Linked DNA regions of Anolis sagrei. The protein of the gene in region 1 purifies or fractionates together with the protein of each later gene. This does not show direct contact. Links are inferred from orthologs where the notes say so. Each region holds a gene or a part of one and is shown in the gene's direction. Other genes may lie near its edges.

Evidence for each region.
Region 2: the proteins of LRWD1 (region 1) and ORC5 purify together in Homo sapiens (affinity purification with mass spectrometry; 4 studies listed by BioGRID and IntAct, with this or other methods). This does not show direct contact. The link is inferred for Anolis sagrei from reciprocal best matches to the Homo sapiens genes LRWD1 and ORC5.

What each region holds. Positions count from the first base shown.
Region 1 is NC_090031.1:24,210,575-24,221,403, forward strand, and holds the start of LRWD1 (leucine-rich repeat and WD repeat-containing protein 1), read left to right. Parts: upstream 1-6,089; 5' UTR 6,090-6,178; intron 6,179-10,829. Other genes in the region: ALKBH4 (alpha-ketoglutarate-dependent dioxygenase alkB homolog 4), read right to left, coding at 1,527-1,724, 5,931-6,080. UniProt on the Homo sapiens protein: Required for G1/S transition. Recruits and stabilizes the origin recognition complex (ORC) onto chromatin during G1 to establish pre-replication complex (preRC) and to heterochromatic sites in post-replicated cells.
Region 2 is NC_090025.1:84,684,939-84,695,369, forward strand, and holds the start of ORC5 (origin recognition complex subunit 5), read left to right. Parts: upstream 1-5,650; 5' UTR 5,651-5,738; intron 5,739-5,744; exon of another isoform or gene 5,745-5,928; intron 5,929-9,153; exon of another isoform or gene 9,154-9,237; intron 9,238-10,431. UniProt on the Homo sapiens protein: Component of the origin recognition complex (ORC) that binds origins of replication. DNA-binding is ATP-dependent. The specific DNA sequences that define origins of replication have not been identified yet.

The sequences.
Region 1 (10,829 bases):
AAATGTAATGTTCGTTTGTGGGATTAACAGAACTCAAAAACCACTGGATGAATTGACATCAAATTTGAACACAAGACACCTAACAACCCAATGTATGTTCTTCACTCAAAAAAAATGATTTTGTCATTTGGGAATTGTAGTTTCTGGGATTTATAGTTCACCTACAATCAACCCTCCCACACAAACCCCATGTGGGCCACAGCAACGCATGGCAGGGGACGGTTAGTAGTGTAATATAATTATAATAATATAATACAATAATAATATAGTATAATAATAAATTTAATTATAAAACAATATATTATAATATTATAAATACTATAATATACTATAATAAAATATAATTATAATTATACAATTATAATGTTATTATACTAAATATAATTATAATATAATTATTGCTTTTCCTTTATTCCTTTATCCGACTTGTCGTTGATCCATACCTTTGGGCTTCACGCAAATCTACCATTTGTTAAAATATATTATCCTGTGCTATTTTTTTCCATTTCTGGCTGAATAGCTTAAATTCAGATATTTTGATATTATAATTCTAATAATATAATATAATGTGCTATAACAAGATGTCACAAAAAAACAAAGCTTTGCAGCTTAATAAACGTTTTCCCAAGTTTTTATGACAGAATCAATTAGGAAATAATGACATTTATAACCCAAATAGGGCAAGACATCCACCAGCGAATGCACATACATGTTTTCATGGATGTTACAATTTTAAAGGATGGTCCCTAGATCAGTGGTTCTCAACCTTCCTAATGCCATGACCCCTTAATATGGTTCCTTATGTTGTGGTGACCCCCAACCATCAATTTATTTTCGTTGCTACTTCACAACTATAATTTTGTTCCTGTTAGGAATCATCTTGTAAATATCCAATATGCAGGATGTATTTTCATTCGTTTGGCACAAATACTCGATACGCCCAAATTTGAATACTGGTGGGGTTGAGGGGAGGATTGATTTTGTCATTTGGGAGTTGTAGTTGCTGGGATTTATAGTTCACCTACAATATCAAAGAGCATTCTGAACTCCACCAATGATGGAATTGAACCAAACTTGGGACACAGAGCTCCCATGACCAACAACAAATTCTGGAAGAGTGTGGTGGGCATTGATCTTGAGTTTGGGAATTGAACTTCGTCTATATCCAGAGAGCACTGTAGACTCCAACAATGATGGATCTGGACCAAACTTGGCATGGATACTCCATATGCCCAAATGTGAACACTCGTGGGGTTTTGGGAAAATAGACCTTGAGATTTGGGAGTTGTACTTGCTGGGATTTATAGTTCACCTACAATCAAGGAGCGTTCTGAACCCCAATAATGATAGAATTGAGCCAAACTTCCCACACAAGAGACCCCCCATGACCAACAGAAAATACTGTGTTTTCTGATGGTCTTTGGCAACCCCTCTGACACCCCTTCGCGACCCCTCCAGGGGTCCCGACCCCCAGGTTGAGAAACACTGCCCTAGATAGTGGGAAACATTCAATGAGAAGACCAGACCTGCTTTTTTCGGCCGGACTGCGACAGCTTCCAAGGGTTTTGGTCCATAAGAGCAACCATGTGCCATTCTTCCTCTGCGGTGATGAAGTCTTCCAACAAAAACACTCCCGGAAACGGGAAGGCCCAGCCAGCAAAGTCGGAAGGCTTTTCTCCCACAGCCAAGCCAGTCGTCGGGCAGTAAACAAAGTTTACATTTTTCTATTGAGACAAGAAAAGGGGAAAGGATCACAATCGTCTTGTCATTTGCATTTGCAATTTGGATACTCAAGCTCAGAAATGGGTCATCACATTATTGTGGGGAGTGGGATGCTAACCCAGAAGGCTTCCCCATTAGGTTTAATAAATTGGGGTGGGGTGATAAATTGTCTGGGAGAGTCTACAAACATGGACTCTAAAAAACGGTAACGGTGAGTGATTTTGATTAGATCACTAAAAGAGTTTTTGAAATGGCCAAATGTCACTAATTAAATTTGGCTCTAATACTCGAGACATAGAAATTTGGCTTTTAGTCAAACAAATATATATGTAAGGACTAGGAAAAATGGGAACCCAAGAGTTGTGGAATGGAATACCTGTATGTAACTATTTTGTATTAGGCACCCACCCAAAATTTAAGAAATTTTGAATAACGGATAAGATTGGGATATTATTATTATTATTATGTGTATTTATGACTGCACGATGCAAATCCTAATTTTGGAGAGGTAATTTAGCTAAACCAGATGAGTGTTAGATTTGAGTAAATAGTTATTATTATTAATATTATTATTTGAAACACAAGATGAGTCCACAGCAGACACTCTGCTGGCTGTTGTATTGGATCACACGTCTAGGACTGTGTGATGTATCGGCGAATAATGCGTGCAGATCCCAGTAAGGTGGCCTCTTGCAGTTGGCAGACTGTAATTTTGTCAGCGCCGATTGTGTTTAAGTGCAGGCCAAGGTCTTTAGGCACTGCACTCAGTGTGCCGATCACCACTTCTTCTTCTTCTTCTTCTTATTATTATTATTATTATTTATACCCGCCTGTTTCTCTCCGGAAGGATACTCAAAGTAGCTATGCATCTATTATTAGTAGTAGAATTTATTATTATTATTATTATTATTATTATTATTATTATTATTAGCTATCCCCTGCCACGTGTTACTGTGGCACAGTCTGTGTATATGTGTTTTGTGTGTGTATATATGTGTGTGTATATATATTTGTGTATATGTTTGTTTGCATATATATATATGTCTGGTTTTGCGCATGTGTTGTAATGTAATTTTTTTTGGCTTTTGAAATCACTTCCACTATGTTTTTCAGTGTTTTTATGAGTGATGATCACTCATTGGCCTGACAGTTGTATTGTGTCCAAAATTGGTGTCAATTCGTCCAGTGGCTTTTGACTTGTTAATCCCACAAACCATAAATTATATTATAGATGGTATATTATCTTATATAATTGTCTTAATTTGCTTTTAATTCCACTATCTCAGTATCAAGTCAATGCATACTTAATAGGAGCTTATCTCTTGCTGAACCCTTAATAACCATTAAGGCTATTAACAACTACAGTAGCAAAGGAGCAGAATTCCACTCTTAAATGATCAAAAAGCCATTTGGCAATGGCAGGAATCGTGGCTGGGATAAGTCAGGTCACGGTTTTGTTACAAAAACAGCTTTGTAAATGCAATATTATTTCTTTAACTTTTTTTTTCCTCCAGTTGCTTGAGAGTTTTGAATAACTGAAAGTCTCCTGGAAAAGCTTCCATAGACTAAAATCTCTCTCATTCCACAACAAGGATGGACTTTGAATGTTTCTATGAAATGTAATTATGATGTTTAAAATACCGTTGATATTTAATTCTGTTTTAATGTTTGTATATATTTGTAGATGTAGTCATGCCGGCCACATGACCTTGCAGGTGTCTACGGACAACGCTGGCTCTTTGGCTTAGAAGTGGAGATGAGCACCAGAGTCCCAGAGCCAGACATGACTGGACTTATTTATTTATTTGTCGTGTCAGAGCAACCAGTCTATTATATATTACATTTCTAACAGAACAAAGCAAACAGACAGAAAAATACACAACTTGTGAGTTTGGTAGTTGGTTAAATGTCCTTTGACCAGTATCTAGCCACTTGGAGTGCTTCCGGTGTTGCTGCAAGAAGGTCCTCCATTGTGCATGTGTCAGGGCTCAGGTTGCATTGCAGCAGGTGGTCAGTGATTTGCTCTTCTCTGCACTCGCATGTCGAGGATTCCACTTTGTAGCCCCATTCCTGAAGGTTGGGTCTGCATCTCGTGGTGCCAGAGCACAGTCTGTTCAGCGCCTTCCAAGTCACCCACTTTTCTGTGTGCCCAGGGGGGAGTCTCTCATTTGGTATCAGCCATGGTTTGAGCCTGCCACTTTTGGACTCTCACTTGCTGAGGTGTTCCAGCGAGTGTCTCTGTAGATCTTAGAAAACTATGTCTAGATTTAAGTCGTTGGCATGCTGGCTGATACCCAAACAGGGGATGAGCTGGAGATGTCTCTGCCTTGGTCCTTTCACTATTGGCTGCTACTTCCCAGTGGATGTCAGGTGGTGCAATACCGGCTAAGCAGTGTAATTTCTCCAGTGGTGTGGGGCACAGACACCCCGTGATTATGCGGCATGTCTCATTAAGAGCCACATCCACTGTTTTAGCATGGTGAGATGTGTTCCACATTGGGCATGCATACTCAGCAGCACAGTAGCACAGCACAAGGGCAGATGTCTTCACTGTATCTGGTTGTGATCCCCAGGTTGTGCCAGTCAGCTTTTGTATGATATTGTTTCTAGCATCCACTTTTTGCTTGATGTTCAGGCAATGCTTCTTGTAGGTCAGAGCACGGTCCAGAGTGACTCCCAGGTACTTGGGTGCGCTGCAATGCTCCAGTGGGATTCCTTCCCAGGTAATCCTCAGAGCTCGGGATGCTTGTCTGTTCTTAAGATGAAAGGCACATGTCTGTGTTTTAGATGGGTTGGGGATCCGCTGGTTTCCCCTGTAATAGGCAGTGAGAGCACCTAGAGCTTCGGAGAGCTTCTGTTCCACCGTCTCAAAGCTCCCTGCTTGAGCAGTAATGGCACGATCATCAGCATAGATGAAACTCTCTGTCCCTTCTGGCAGTGGCTGGTCATTTGTGTAGATGTTGAACATGGATGGAGCGAGCACGCTCCCCTGAGGCAGGCCGTTCTTCTGTTTCCGCCATCTGCTTCTCTAGCCCTGGAACTCAACAAAAAAGCTCCTGTTTTGTAGCACGTTTCCTATGAGGTGGGTGAGGTGGTCGTCCTTTGTGATATTATACATTTTTCTAAGGAGGAGGCGGTGGTTCACAGTATCATAGGCTGCTCACAGGTCTATTATGCAACCAGCATAATAATAATAATAATAGTAATAATAATAATAATAAACTCTATTTATACCCCGCCACCATCTCCCCAAGGGGACTCAGGGCAGCTTACATGAGTCCAAGCCCGACAATACAATACATCAGTATAAACCAACACAGCAATAAAACAAAACAAAACAAAAAATACAGGGTTGTTGTAGGGTTTTTTCGGGCTATATGGCCATGTTCTAGCGGCATTCTCTCCTGACGTTTTGCCTGCATCTATGGCAAGAATCCTCAGAGGTAGTGAGGTCCTTCTGGCTGATGTTGATATGGAGGTGCAGCAGTTCCTTGTCTGTGTTTGCGAGTTCTTTGCGGATGGTGTGAATTCTCTCTCGTAAGAGGTTGCGTTCAGAGGTAGTGAGGATGCTTGCCATAGATGCAGGCGAAACGTCAGGAGAGAATGCCTCTGTCTAGAACATGGCCATATAGCCTGAAAAAAACCTACAACAACCCAGCGATTCAGGCCATGAAAGCCTTCGACAATACAATAAAAAACCATAATAAATAACATAGCAGCAATAAAACACAACATTTAAACAACACAAGGATATATTAATATTATATATATTATATTTGATATATACACACATGCTGTATTTAAATAATAATTGTATTTTATTATATATTATTATTATATGACTATTTATATTATTATCCATTATATACTATAGATTCACACACATGCTATATTATATTGATATTATTATATATAATTATTATTAGTATTAATGTATGTATGTATCAGGCCTGGGCCAACTTCGGCCCTCAGGGGGGTTTGGACTTCAAGTCCCACAATTCCTAACAGCCTAGCGGCTGTTAGGAATTGTGGGACTTGAAGTCCAAACCCTCCTGAGGGCCGAAGTTGGCCCAGGCCTGACAGACGTGCCACGTAAGGGAGGAGAAGGGAGGCGAAGGCGCTCTGCACACGCTCAGGGGCCGGGAAGGGGCGTGCCTCGCCGAGGAAGCCTTCCCCTTTCCCCGCCCCTTCCCCTCCTTCCTTCCTACCGGAGGCGGCGCCGGCGTGGTGGGGCGGCGGGCCTGGCAGGCCAGGCAAGAGCGGGGTCTGGTGCAGGCGCAGGCCTCCCGCGGCCTAGCTGCTTCTCCCCCGCCTCCGTCTCCGCGGCCCCCGCCGCTCCAGTCGGCATCCGGCTCCATCCTCTTCCCCGCCGGACCCCCGGAGGCCCCAGCCGCGGCCAGGAGAAGAACCGAGGGCGGGCGGCAAGCGGGAGCAAGAGCGGGGCGCTTCTCCTGAGGTAAAAAACTACGCGAGGCCCGGCGCGGAGAGAGGAGCAGGCCGCTCCCACCGGCGGAGAGAACGAGAGGGAGGGAGGACGTTGAAAAGGGCGGGAAAGGCTTCCCCAGGCCTCGCGAGGGAGGGAAGGAGGGGGAGGGAACTCGCTTTCCCAGAAGCGCCTTGCGCGGCCCCGGCATTGAAGGAGCCTTTGCGCTCCCTCCCGGGGCATGATGGGAGTTGAAGTTTCGGCGCCAAACTCTGGAGGATGCTGAGGAGGATGCTCCTTTTGGGAGAAGGAAGGGGCATTTTTTGTTTCCCTGGCGACATCTTGGGACCCGTTTCTCTCTCTCTCTCTATCATCTAAATATAGAGTATTCATCAGTCTGTTTATACATATGAGAATATATACTATATATTAATATTATACATAGTATATTATATATATACACACATGCTGTATTTAAATAGTAATTGTATTTTTATATATCATATATTATAGGATATATTATATATTGTATACGCTATAAATATACATATTATATATTGTATACACTATATATTATATATTATTATATATTGTGTACACTATATATATTAATATTATACATATTATATATTATATACAATATATATATTAATATTACACGTATTATATTTTACATACACATACACTATAGTTAAATAATAATAATAATTGTATATTATGTATTGTTTACACTATATATATTAATATTATACATTTTATATTTTATATATGCACACATGCTATATTTAAATAGTAATTGTATTTTTATATATTATATATTATTATACCATTATATTATATATTGTATACACTATATATTAATATTATATATATTATATAATATAAAATATAATATAAAATATTACACATATTATATATACACACATGCTATATTTAAATAGTAATTGTATTTTTATATATTATATATGATTATATGATATATTGTATACACTATATATTAATATTATACATATTATATTTTATATATACACACATGCTATATTTAAATAATATTTGTATTTTATTATATATACTTTATATTATATATTGTGTACACTATATCTTAGTATTATACATTTTATATTTTATATATACACATATGCTATATTTAAATAGTAATTGTATTTTCATATTATATATTATTATAGGATATATTATATATTGTATACGCTATATATTAATATTATATATATTATATATTATTGTATATTGTGTACACTATATATAAATATTATACATATTATATTTTATATATACACACATGCTATATTTAAATAATAATAATATTTTATTTTATATATTATATGATTATTTATATTATTATGTATTATATACACTATATATATTAATATTATACGTATTATATTTTACATACACATACACTATAGTTAATAATAATTGTATATTATTATATATTGTTTACACTATATATAATAATATTATATATTATATTTTACATACACATACGCTATATTTAAATAATAATTGTATTTTATTATATATATTATATCAGTGGTTCTCAACCTGGGGTCTCCAGATGTTTTTGGCCTACAACTCCCAGAAATCCCAGCCAGTTTACCAGCTGTTGGGATTTCTGGGAGTTGAAGGCCAAAAACATCTGGGGACCCTAGGTTGAGAACCACTGTATTATATGATTATATTATATGCACTATATAAATATTATACATATTATATTTTATATACACACACATGCTATACTTAAATAGTAATTGTAATTTTATATATTATAGGATTATATTATATATTGTATACACTACATATTAATATTGTACATATTATATTTTATATACACACATGCTATATTTAAATAATAATTATATTTTATTACATATTATATATATATGATTATTTATATTATATATTATATACACTATATATATTAATATTACACATTTTATATTTTATTTATACACATGCTATATTTAAATAATTATATTTTATTATATATATTATATGATTATTTACATTATTATGTATTATATACACTATATATATTAATACTATACGTATTATATTTTACATACACATACACTATAGTTAAATAATAATAATTGTATATTATTATATATTGTTTACACTATTAATATCTATTAATATTATACATATTATATTTTATATACACATACACTATATTTAAATAATATTTGTATTTTATTATCTATATTATATATTATTATATATTATATACACTATATATTAATATTATACACATTATATTTTATATACACACATGCTATATTTAAATAGTAATTGTATTTTTATAGTAATTGTATTTTTATATATTATTATAGGATTATATTATATATTGTATATACTATATATACACATGCTATATTTAAATAATAATTGTATTTTATTATATATATTATATATTATTATATATTTTATACACTATATATATTAATATTATACATATTATACCTTATATACACATACGCTATATTTAAATAATAATTGTATTTTATTATATATTATATTATATATTATTATATGATTATATATTGTATACACTATATATATAAATTGTATTTCATTATATTTTATTTATTTATATTTCAAATTTATATGCCGCCACTCCCCTAGGGCTCGGAGTGGCTTACAAGAACAAACTAAAATCTAACACAAAGTAAACAACATATCAAAGATCAAAGGCCTGTCGAAACAAATATGTCTTGCAAGCCCTGCTATACTCACATGCTATATTTAAATAATAATAATTGTATTTCATTTTATTATTATATGATTATTTATATTATTATATATAACTATATTTTATACATATTCTATATATTCACATGCTATGTTATATTTGTATAACAATAATAATAGTATTTTAATAGTATTTTATTATATATTATTAATATTAATGTATGTCCTGGGCCATTATATATGCACACATACATACATATATGTGTGTGTTAGTGTATGCATATGTAGATAGATCATATATATATATAATCTATATGTTTATATATCATCTAGATATGTACTATAGATCATATATATACACACAAAAATCTTATCCTTGTATTGAGCATATAGTTGTTATTATGGTTCTCTTTGAGACAAATGGAGTAAATTTATTTATTTTGAGTACTTTTTGAAAAATCATTTCACGCAACTGGAGTTTGAAAAGAGATTTTCATAAAAATAAACCCATTGGGAAACTTGGTGGCAAAGGCTGGCCTCGCCAAAGAGTTATAATTCATTTATTTTAGCTTCGTAATTCGATCTCACCTTGCTTTTCTGTGATTGGAAAGAAAACTGATACAAGATGGAAATCTGCCAGAACAGGTCTGAGTAAAAAGATTCATTTACATATTTTTATATTCCACCCTATCTCCGCAAGGGGACTCAGGGCGGATCACAGTACACATACACAGCAAACATTAAATTCCGTTTGGGATTTCTGATCTTTTTCTTTATGGTGTTGTCAAATACCTCCCCTTCTTGTTTTAGCGCTACCTAATTTCTCTACTTACAGCTCAAGCTGTTTTTGAACTGCTTAGGTAAACAGTAACCTGGGCTGACAGTTGGGAGCTCATGCCGACTCAGGGCTTTGAACTGGCAACCTTTCAGTTGGTAGATCTTATTATTGCTGGTGATTTACCAACTCTGCTAAAGCCCATCCTGAATCCAAAACAGACTTGTCACTGAAGTAGATGTTGATTTGGACTTCCAACAGGAAAGTTTGGTTGTTGAGGAAAAGAAATAAATGTCCGTTCTCACCTCGCTAAAAAAGAAGAGTGTCTCCTTTGAACTGTGATCTCTCTTGTTAGAACGAGAGTCTATTCTTTCTCTATTGGTTTGTAAGCTGCCTGTTTCGGATTATTTATTACACCCAAGTGATTGAACTGCAGCTACAAACTTTGTTTTTCGAAATTGTGGTTTCATCTTCAAATTGGCGGGGATGAGAGACAGGGCCTTCAATGTGTTTTGATCCCATCATGATTTTATTTCTTTCGGATCCTGAGGTGTCTTGTAGCAACCCTGCCATTTGTTTCACATTTCCCTTTTGATTTCTTGAAAGCTTGCAGAATAGATCTCTTATATCTCTGCCTGGGTTTATTGTCATTGTTCTCTTGGTTTCCTCTCATTTGTTCTTTGCTGTTTGGCTGAAACTCACCTTGCATTTGGCTGCCTTTTTTGCATTCCTCCTTGTGTTGTTTCAAGGGTTTCTCTGGCTCCCAGTTGTCCAGACGCGAATGGATTTTTCATAGGAATGTTAAATTCTATAAAGAATTTATGTTTTGTCATGATATTGATTTTAGAGTTCCTTAATTGCAGACAGTAGTAGTAATAATAGTTTAGGATCTTGCGTCACAATCGGCTCCTGGTCTTGTTTTTGTAGAGAGAAGTGGTAGCCGAAGACTCTCTGCAAAAACAAGACCAGGAGCAGATTCTCTCTTATCTTTTTTTCCCCTTGCTGTTGCTTATGTATAGCCACTCATCTGCCCTTGCGGATTTGCAAATTTGATTATTCACAGGTTTGTTCAATCTAGGAATCTCTAGGTCCTGTAGTGTGATTTTGATCTTGAAATTTACAAAAGGGAACAACCCTCTAGCTCAGTGTTTCTCAATTTTCCCAGTGCCGCAACCCCTCAATATACTTTCTCACGTTGTG
Region 2 (10,431 bases), on another chromosome or scaffold:
ATGATTTCAGGACTTAGTCATGTTCTCATGGGATTTTGCTTTGCTGGTGCCTTTTTGGGTTAAGCTTCAAAGTGCTATTTTGTATTGATCTTTTGGAACATTACCTTTGCTTTTAAGAACTTTTTACCTTTTATTTTCTAATAAACTATAAAGACTTTTGGCTGTCTGCAGTTTGGTGTTTTTCAGCAAGGTGAATCTACTCTGAGATGCAACACTCCTGGTGTAGATCATCAACTAAGGTGACCAGGCTGTCTTGGTTCCATGTCCCGGCCTAAAACCAGACTGTTATAATAGGTGTCAGACCCAGAAACAAAAGACAACATTTATGTAAATACCTTGATTACATCTCTAAAGAGGCCTTGCTTTCCTGCGGGGTTTGGATATCTCAGCTGGATATTGAGCTGGCTTCTTGAATGTTCAACCCACCAACAGTTTCCCAAGCACATTTTATATAGTTCAATTTTTTTTTAGGTGCTCAGTTCTTGCGAATATACGTATATGTGTGTCCTCTCCCCTGATTGTTCATCAATAAAGAAAAGATATGTGCAAGGGTTCTTCATCTGTGGCAGATTTGAAAAATAGTTATTTCAATACAGTTGTGCATAGTTTTCTTAACAGAGAACAGGAGAAAAGAGGGAGATTTGTCTGAGGAAGCAGATAATAGGACCACTGAGGTCTAATTTTTAATTGTATCTTAAGGAAAGACCTTTTTGTGTTTCCTGTCTGACCTGAGGGGATTTTCCTGCACAACCAGTTTTTCAGTTTGTCTCTTAGACTTGGTAAAAATAGAGGGTGCTACTTTAAGCAAGCTCAATATTTAAGTTAATTGATATATTTCACATCGATCAGTTATATCAATGAAGTAAAGGGAGTTTTGTAATAATTGTTGTGGCTCAGTCTGAGCCTGAGCTTTCTGAGCCTGAATTTCCTCAGGACGAGGAGGATGATGGATTGCAGATTTCTGAACATGTCCCTGTTGTTAATGCAGACAGTGTTGATATTGAAGACGAGGCGGCGTTTCAGTTTCCCAGGGAAAGGAATGTTGTTTTAGAAGATGGTCATGATTTGAGTGAATCTTCATAGCTGCAGGTGGAGGAGTCGACCCCTCCATCTGTGAGCTCAGTGCCTGTCGATTCCCAGGCTGGCCAGTCCCAGGATAATGAGTTATTCGGCCTTGAAGGTGATGGGGATTTGGTTAGGGAGGACCGTTTGCAATTAAGGGTTCGCCAAAGTGCTCAGCTTGCTAACAAATGGGAGGGTCAAGGTCAACGTAATGCTTTCATGCTAGGGAAGGATATTTAAAGATCTGATTGAAGTCAACCCTTTGTCAGTGCAACTTTGCTTACACCCTGTTAACTTCTCTGGAATTGCCTCGGTTTTTGGGGAGAGCTTTTGGCTCTTTGGGACTTTAGTTTTGAACTTGGTTTCTGGGGACTCTGTCATGCTGCCATAGATTCTTGTTTGACCAGTGCTTGTGGATTATACTTCATGTTATTTGCCTTTGGACCTTGGAAACTCTGCCTTTGCATTTAAGACTCTGTTTGGCTATTGAACTTTTGCAACCTTTTTTCTATGTATATGATTTTGCTTTTTCTTCAGTAAACTACAAAACCTACAGCCTTGGTGTGTGGTGATGTTCTGAGCAAGGTGAATCTATCCTGAGTTGTGACAATAATAGTCATTTATAAATCATTCATCAGTACTTTTCTGGGGATTTACGTAGAAGGCCCGGAAAAATCACATCTTGGGTTGTTGTAGGTTTTCCGGGCTATATGGCCATGTTCTAGAGGCATTTTCTCCTGACATTTTGCCTGCATCTATGGCAAGCATCCTCAGAGGTAGTGAGGTCTGTTGGAAGTAGGAAAAATGGGTTAATATACCTGTGGAAATACCAGGGTGGGACAAAGGACTTTTGTCTGCTGGAGCTAGGTGTGAATGTTTCAACTGACTACGTTGATTAGCATTTAATGGCTTGGAAGTCCCTGGGGGAATCTGTCTTTGAGAGGTGATTTGATGTGCCTGATTGTTTACTCTCTGTTGTTTTGCTGTTGTAATTTTTGAGTTTTTTAATCACATCTTCCTTCCCAAAATCTCTTCTTTTGTTAATATGGCACATATATTTTTTGCTGACATGTAGGCCTAAGACTGACACAGCTGCATACTCATAGAAAATAGGTTGTGGAAAAAGATCAAGCTGAGTAACAGATAGGCTTTTTCTATTAATCTCAGTAAGCAGTTTATTAGTCTAGGGTAAAATTCAGCTTTTTTAAAAAAACAGTTTTATAAATTGGGAAGTGAAGCCCATATCAAGCCCTTCTTTGCTATTGCAACAAAGACTGTTCTGCATTTCAAAGGTTTTGTTTGTCACAGGATGAAGTACAGCAGTTCAGCTGTCTTTTATGCTCTTAGTATAAACTTGCAGCAATATACCAGATTGATATGTACATGAAAAACAGTCTGACACCGAACCACAAAATTGTTGCAGGGAGTTTGCCTACATACATGTAAACATATACTTGCATAATTATTTTAATGTATTGTCGAAGGCTTTCATGGCCGGCATCACAGGGTTGATGTAGGGTTTTTTTTCAGGATATATGGCCATGTTCCAGAGGCATTCTCTCCTGACGTTTTGCCTGCATCTATGGCAAGTATCCTCAGAGGTAGTGAGGTCTGTTGGAACTAGGAAAATGTATATCTGTGGAATGACCAGGGTGGGACAAAGGACTCTTGTCTGCTGGAGCTAGGTGTGAGGACCTCACTACCTCTGAGGATGCTTGCCATAGATGCAGGTGAAACGTCAGGAGAGAATGCCTCTAGACCATGGCCATATAGCCCGAAAAAACCTATAACAACCCATTATTATTTTGTTAGAGCCTTCCATATTAAAAGGAGCATTTCCTAGATTTCTGTAAATGTTATTTGCAGCAGGTGATCTTAGTCTTTGTTGCAACAATAAATTAGAATTGCAAGTTTCATGTAAAATAATATAAAGGTAAAGGTTTCTCCTGACATTAAGTCTAGCCATGTCTGACTCTAGGGCAGTGGTTCTCAACCTGTGGGTCCCCAGATGTTTTGGCCTTCAATTCCCAGAAATCCTACCAGCTGGTAAACTGGCTGGGATTTCTGGGAGTTGTAGGCCAAAACACCTGGGGACCCGACTGCTCATTGGAGGGAAGGATAGTAGAGGCCAAGATGAAGTACTAGGTTCTTGTGGATTTTTTCGGGCTATAGGGCCATGTTCTAGAGCATTTCTTCTGACGTTTCGCCTGCATCTATGGCAAGCATCCTCAGAGGTAGTGAGGTCTGTTGGAATTAGGACAATGGGTTTATATATCTGTTGAATGGCTGGGGTGGGGCAAAGAGCTCTTCTCTGCTGGAGCTAGGTGTGAATGTTTCAACTGACCACCTTCATTAGCATCTGAAGGTCTGGCTGAGCCTGGGAAAATCCCCTGTTGAGAGGTGTTAAGATGTGCCTGGTTGTTTCCTCTCTGCTGTTTTGCTGTTGTAATTTTAGAGTTTTTTAATACTGGTAGCCAGATTTTGTTCATTTCCATGGTCTCTTCCTTTCTGTTGAAATTGTCCACATGCTTGTGGATTTCAATGGCTTCTCTGTGTAGTCTGACATGGTGGTTGTTGGAGTGGTCCAGCATTTCTGTGTTCTCAAATAATATGCTGTGTCCAGGCTGGTTCATCAGGTGCTCTGCTATGGCTGACTTCTCTGGTTGAAGTAGTCTGCAGTGCCTTTCATGTTCCTTGATTCATGTTTTGGCAATGCTGTGTTTGGTGGTCCCTATGTAGACTTGTCCCCAGATGAAGTACTTTGGCCACATCATGAGAAGAAAGGAAAGCTTAGAGAAGACAAAGATGCTGGGGAAAATGGAGGGGAAAAGGAAGAGGGGCCGACCAAGGGCAAGATGGATGGATGGTATCCTTGAAATGACTGGATTGACCTTGAAGGAGCTGGGGGTGGTGACGGCTGACAGGGAGCTCTGGCGTGGGCTGGTCCATGAGGTCACAAAGAGTCGAAAAACGACTGAACGAATGAATAACAAACTTCCAAGGATTTTGGTCTCTGTCTTTCCAAAGATGTGGTCCTAGATCAAAACCCCAGCAGATACCAAGGATCCACACATTTATCTCCTCTTCATTTTAAACCAAGGATGCAGCAATTTAGGGCACTCTCAAGTTTTTGAAGAAGTGCAGTTTCCATCATCGTCAGGGGTGGCTCAACCCATTACGCAAAGTAAGCATTTGAAGTATAGTTGATTTTGCTCAGGGGCGCTCATGAGGCGCTCTTGGGGGAAAATAGACCTTGACATATGTGAGTTGTAGTTACTGGGATGTATAGTTCACCTACAATCAAAGAGCATTTTGAACTCCACCAATGATGGAATTAAACCAAATATGGCACACAGAACTCCCACGACGAACAGAAAATATATATCAGTGATAGGTGGTGGTGGTGGTGGGGGGGGGGGGGGAAATACTGTTTAATGTATTGTCGAAGGCTTTCATGGCCGGAATCACTGGGTTGTTGTAGTTATTTTCGGGCGGTATCATGGGAGTTCTGTGTGGGAAATCTGGCCCATTCTATCGTTGGTGGGGTTCAGAATGCTCTCTGATTGTTGGTGAACTATAAATCCCAGCAACTACAACTTCCAAATGTCAAGGTCTATTTTCCCCAAACTCCACCAGTGTTCACATTTGGGCATATTGAGTATTCGTGCCAAGCTTAGTCTAGATCTATCATTGTTTGAGTCCACAGTGCTTTCTGGAGATAGGTGAACTACAACTCCCAAGCTCAAGGCCAATGCTCGCCTACCCCTTTCATTATTTTTTGCATGGTGTGTGCCAAGTTTGGGTCAATTCCATCTCTAATGAAATTCAGAATGCTCTTTGATTGTAGGTGAAATATAAATCCCAGCAACTACGACTCCCAAGGTCTAGAGAATGAAAATACATCCTGCCTATCAGATGTTTACATGTTGATTCATAACAGCAGCAAAATTCCAGTTATGAAGGAGCAACGAAAATAATTTTAGGGTTGGGGGTCACCACAACATGAGGAACTGTATTAAGGGGTCGCAGCCTTAAGAAGGTTGAGAACCACTGGTCTAGAGGCATTCTCTCCTGACGTTCCACCTGCATCTATGGCAAGCATCCTCAGAGGTAGTGAGAGGTAGTGAGGATCCTCACTACCTCTGAGGATGTTTGCCATAGATGCAGGCGAAACGTCAGGAGAGAATGCCTCTAGACCATGGCCATACAGCCCGAAAAAACCTACAACATCCCAAAATACTGTTTGCTTCCCGTTGAAAATTACCTAGGGCCGCCTCTGAATGCAGTCAATGCTCAGGGGGGCTACAAGACAATACCAGGGAGAGGTCACAGAGTCTTTGGGCTGAACTCATGCACTTGGAGGCTACTTTTAACTACAACTCCCTCGATTCCAGGGCATACACTGGGGCCAGATTGCATTCATTCATTCTCATTGGATGACGTCACTCACGGAGGCGGCCTATCACTTCCTCTCCCTCACTAGGAGGAAACAGAGCGCGCGGATTTCCAGCTCCCGCCTCCTCTCGCACGCCGTTGGTAGATGCCGACAGAGTGACGTCGCAGGTGGCCAATCAGTGGCGTCATCCCCGTCACGTGCGCCGCTGCCGCCGCTCGCGCTCCTGCCTCGCCACGCCTCCTTTTCCATCCCCTCGTTGGCAACGAGAGCCTGGCAAAAGGTAAACAGGTGATGGGCTTGAATTTGGGGCTGGGGTGGAATTGTGAGGAGGCTGAAGGTTAATTTCTCCTCTCAGGTATTAGTATTATTATCATTATTTCGACAACTACAACTTCTCAGCGAGGCTCTTCAGGCGCCAGCTTCCCAGTGAGGTGCTGCTCTGTTTCCCACAAAGACTGCCATCTCCTGAGGTAAACTTGAAGAAAGTTGTTTTGAGTACTTGATTGACAGACTGTTCAGAATGACTGCTTTGTTATTTTTGCTTTACTGTTTTTTTTAAATCACAATAAACAACACAAAATCTCATTGGAGAAAGGGAAAATGCTATTTTGATGTACATTTTAATTGGGAGCATGTGAAACGACCAGGCTCCTTCTATACTGCCATATAAAATCCAGATTTTCTGTTTTGAACTGGATTATATAAATCTACACTGCCATTACTTACTTTACTTACTTACTTAGGCAATCCCTCATCTTTTTTAATCGTGTCAGGAGCGACTTGAGAAACTGCAAGTCGCTTCTGGTATGAGAGAATTGGCCGTCTGCAAGGATGTTGCCCAGGGGATGCCCGGATGATATGATGTTTTTATCACCCTTGTGGGAGGCTTCTCTCATGTCCCTGCATGAGGAGCTGGAGCTGATAGAGAGAACTCATCCACCTCTCCCCGGATTCAAACCTGCGACCTGTCGGTCTTCAGTCCTGCCGGCACAGGGGTTTAACCCACTGCGCCACCGGGGGATCCACGATCCCTCATTGGCCGAGTAGGATAGTCTTCTATGATCAGTATTCTTGTGGATCCGTCTGTGACTGTGGAGCCCTATTCTTGACCTGCATCTTCTCCTGCAGTGAGGGCATTGGTTTCCCAGTGGAAGGCGGTCTCGGTCAGGGTTGGCTTGATGCGCCTTCCTCTTGGCACATTTCTCTCTTTCACCCTCCATTTTTGCCTCTTCAAATTCTGCAGCACTGCTGGTCACAGCTTACCTCTAGCTGGAGCGCTCAAGGGCCAGGGCTTCCCAGTTCTCAGTGTCTATGTCGGAGTTTTTAAGGTTGGCTTTGAACCCATCTTTAAATCTCTTTTCTTGTCCTCCAACATTCCGTTTTCCGTTCTTGAGTTCGGAGTAGAGCAACTGCTTTGGGATACGGTGGTCAGGCATCCGAACAATGTGGCTGGTCCATCAGAGTTGATTTATTTATTTATTTATTGTGTCATCAGCAACCATACCATTGTATTACATTTCTAACAGAACAAAACAAACAAACAGATAGAAAAAGCACAAATTTTGCAACTTGGTAGTTGATTAAATGTCCTTTGACCAGTATTTAGCTTCTTGGAGTGCCTCTGGTGTTGCAGCAAGAAGGTCCTCCATTGTGCATGTGGCAGGGCTCAGGTTGCATTGCAGCAGGTGATCAGTGGTTTGCTCTTCTCCGCACTCGCATGTCATGGATTCCACTTTGTAGCCCCATTTCTTAAGATTGGCTCTGCATCTCGTGGTGCCAGAGCGCAGTCTGTTCAGTGCCTTCCACGTCACCCAGTCTTCTGTGTGCCCAGGAGGGAGTCTCTCATCTGGTGTCACCCACGGATTGAGGTGCTGGGTTTGAGCCTGCCATTTTTGGACTTTCGCTTGCTGAGGTGTTCCAGCAAGTGTCTCTGTAGATCTTAGGAAACTATTTCTTGATTTGAGTCGTTGACATGCTGGCTGATACCCAAACAAGGGGTGAGCTGGAGATGTCGCTGCCCTGGTCCTTTCACTATTGGCTGCTACTTCCCAGCAGATGTCAGGTGGTGCGGAGTTGATGGCGGAGGACCATCGCTTCAATGCTGGTGCTCTTTGCTTCTTCCAGCACACTGACGTTTGTCTGCTTGTCTTCCCCAGAGATTTGCATGATTTTTCAGAGACAGCACTGATGGAATTGTTCCAGGAGTTGCATGTGACGTCTGTAGACAGTCCACATTTCGTAGGCGTATAGCAGGGTTGGGAGGACAATAGCTCTATAAACAAGCACCTTGGTATCCCTACAGATGTCCCTACCATATAATCCAGTTCAGAGCAGATAACCTGGATTTTAAATGTCAGGGTAGAACAATACAATAATTAAAATGAAGAACAATTTCAACAAAAATAAAATTATTAGTATTTCAGTGGGAAGTGTGGGCCTACTTTTGGCTGATGAGAGGATTTTTGTTATTGTTGTGTGCTTTCAAGTTATTTCAGACGTAGGTTGACTCTGAACGAGGGCCGGGTAAATGACCTTGGAGGGCCACATCTGGCCCCCGGGCCTTAGTTTCAGGACCCTTGTTCTAAGGACAGTCTCTCCTGAGGTTTCACCTACATATATGGTCAGCATCCTCAGCCATAGATGCAGGCAAAACGTCAGGAGAGAATGCCTCTAGAACATGGTCAAATAGCCTGAAAAAACCTAGAACAACCCAGTGATCCCAGCCATGAAAGCCTTCGACAATACAAAGTTTATTATTATTATTATTATTATGGGAACCCCTGGTGGCACAGTGCGTTAAACCGCTGAGCTGTTGAACTTTTGTAATTTGTCTTTTTTAATATATTTGTTTTGCTTTAACCATTTTTTAGATTGTAAGTGTGACTGATATTATGTACATTGTTTCCTCTTGTTGTAAGCTGCCCCGAGTCCCCTTGGGAAAAGGGATATAAATAAAGCATTATTATTATTATTATTATTATTATTATTATTTCTAACCTAAAATTGATCATACTTGCAAGAATGTGATTTTTAAAGGCAGATATCAAAAGGGAAATGTACCTGATATGTCTTGTATCAACAGTGTGTTTGTTGAAGTATAACTTTAGCTTCACTCACTCACTCACTTTCAGTACAACTTATCCATTCTTTTTTAAGTTGAGAAAAATCTGATTCAGTACAACTAATTGAACATTATGGTTCACTAAAACAGTGGTTCCCAAACTTTGGTCCTCAGTGGTTTTGGGCTCCAACTCTCAGAAGTTCGAGCCAGCTTCCCAGCTGTTAGGAATAGTGGGAGCTGGACCTGGAGGACAAAAAGTTGGGACCCACCATACTAAATAATTGGTTCCAGTACATCAGTCCAGAAAACTGTAGATTTGTGTATATTTTTCCATGGAAAGCTTTCTGTTTTGGTTAATATAGATACAGTATCTATTTTAACCCTTATAGATACCAAAATTCATTGATGATCAGGGTCCATGTGGCATATTGTATAAAATAGTAAAATCAAGTTTCTTTTGGTGGATTTTTTCATTTTTGGAATATTAGCAAGCCATGAATGGTTGAATTGTGGATACCGAATACCTGATATGGAGGGTGTTGAGTGCATAGCTAATCCCCACAATCCTGGATAATTTCTAGACAGGATGTACTGTGCAGATATTCTGTCTTTCTCTTGAATGTTTTTTCTGTAGTAAGGAAAAGCATGCAAGAAGCAGTGGAAGAATAAGGGAGGATTACTAGTGAAGAACATGAATGCACTTAAAGGCCTCATAAAAGTAGGTGAATGAGGCAAGGCAATGGTGTTGTAAAAGCCTTGTCTACAATTGCTCACTGACTTTTATTGTAGTTTTCAAAGAAGTAAGTGTGCTTGTCTCTCACAGCATAAAAAAAGAACTAAGAAGGGGGAGGAAATATGTGACAGCACCTTTAATACTAATCTGTGGACTTCATTTGATTTTAAATTTAATTGATTTTAAAGTGGAGATAACTGATTTTAGTGTTTATATCTATAGTTTATTGTATGTACCAGCATTGAATGTTTGCAGTATATGTTGTTATCCGCCCTGAGTCCCATTCTGAGTGAGAAGGATGGAATATAAATGCTTTAAATAAATAAATAAATAATAAATTAATTAATGTCTATGTTTCTCCAAATGAAATAGTTTGCTGTTTGTAATTCTTCTGTGTTTTTCTGAATGGGTTTGACACAAAAATTGGCTCAAAGAGTCTGCAAGTGTCTATTGCCTTGTGGCACCAATGGTGCATCGACAGTGTAAAATTAATGCTGTTTGACACCATTAATTTTACAGTATAGAATCACCCTAACACATGGATAGGCAAAAAATGGCTTATGAGATGTAGACAGTCCTGTCTTATAGATGACAGCTGCAGCCGCCATTGCAATGCTAATAGCAAATTTAATAGTCACTCACCAGTGAGTGACTGGTGGTCCGCGAGAAGGCCTTACTGGTATAGTATTTAAACTGTTATGTTTATTCATATCATGATCTGATCACCATACTCAATATATCCCATATGCATGGGGGTATTGGGGTAACAATACAAAAGGTTTGCGAGGGTAGACCCTCTTTTGCTCAGACTCAGCCCCCCCCCCCCCCAATCAAAATCCTGGCTACGGGCCTGTCACTCACAAATTTCAGCACTAGCTGCAGAGGCAAAACCAGGTTTGGAAGCATGGCCTTCTATCCACAGGAAGTTGCCTACCCATGTTTTCGGACCCTAGGTGTCTGAATTTACCTAGTAGTAAAATTTCACTTGAAACATTGATTGTAATAGTATGTTCAGTTAACATAGGCTGTATTTACGCTGCCATATAATCCTGTTTCTGAAACCAGATTATCTGCTTTGAACTGGATTATGAGTCTACACTGCCATATAATCCAGTTCAAAGCACACAGTTTGGATTCAGAAACTAGATTGTATAGCAGTATAGATGGGTCCTTTGTTAC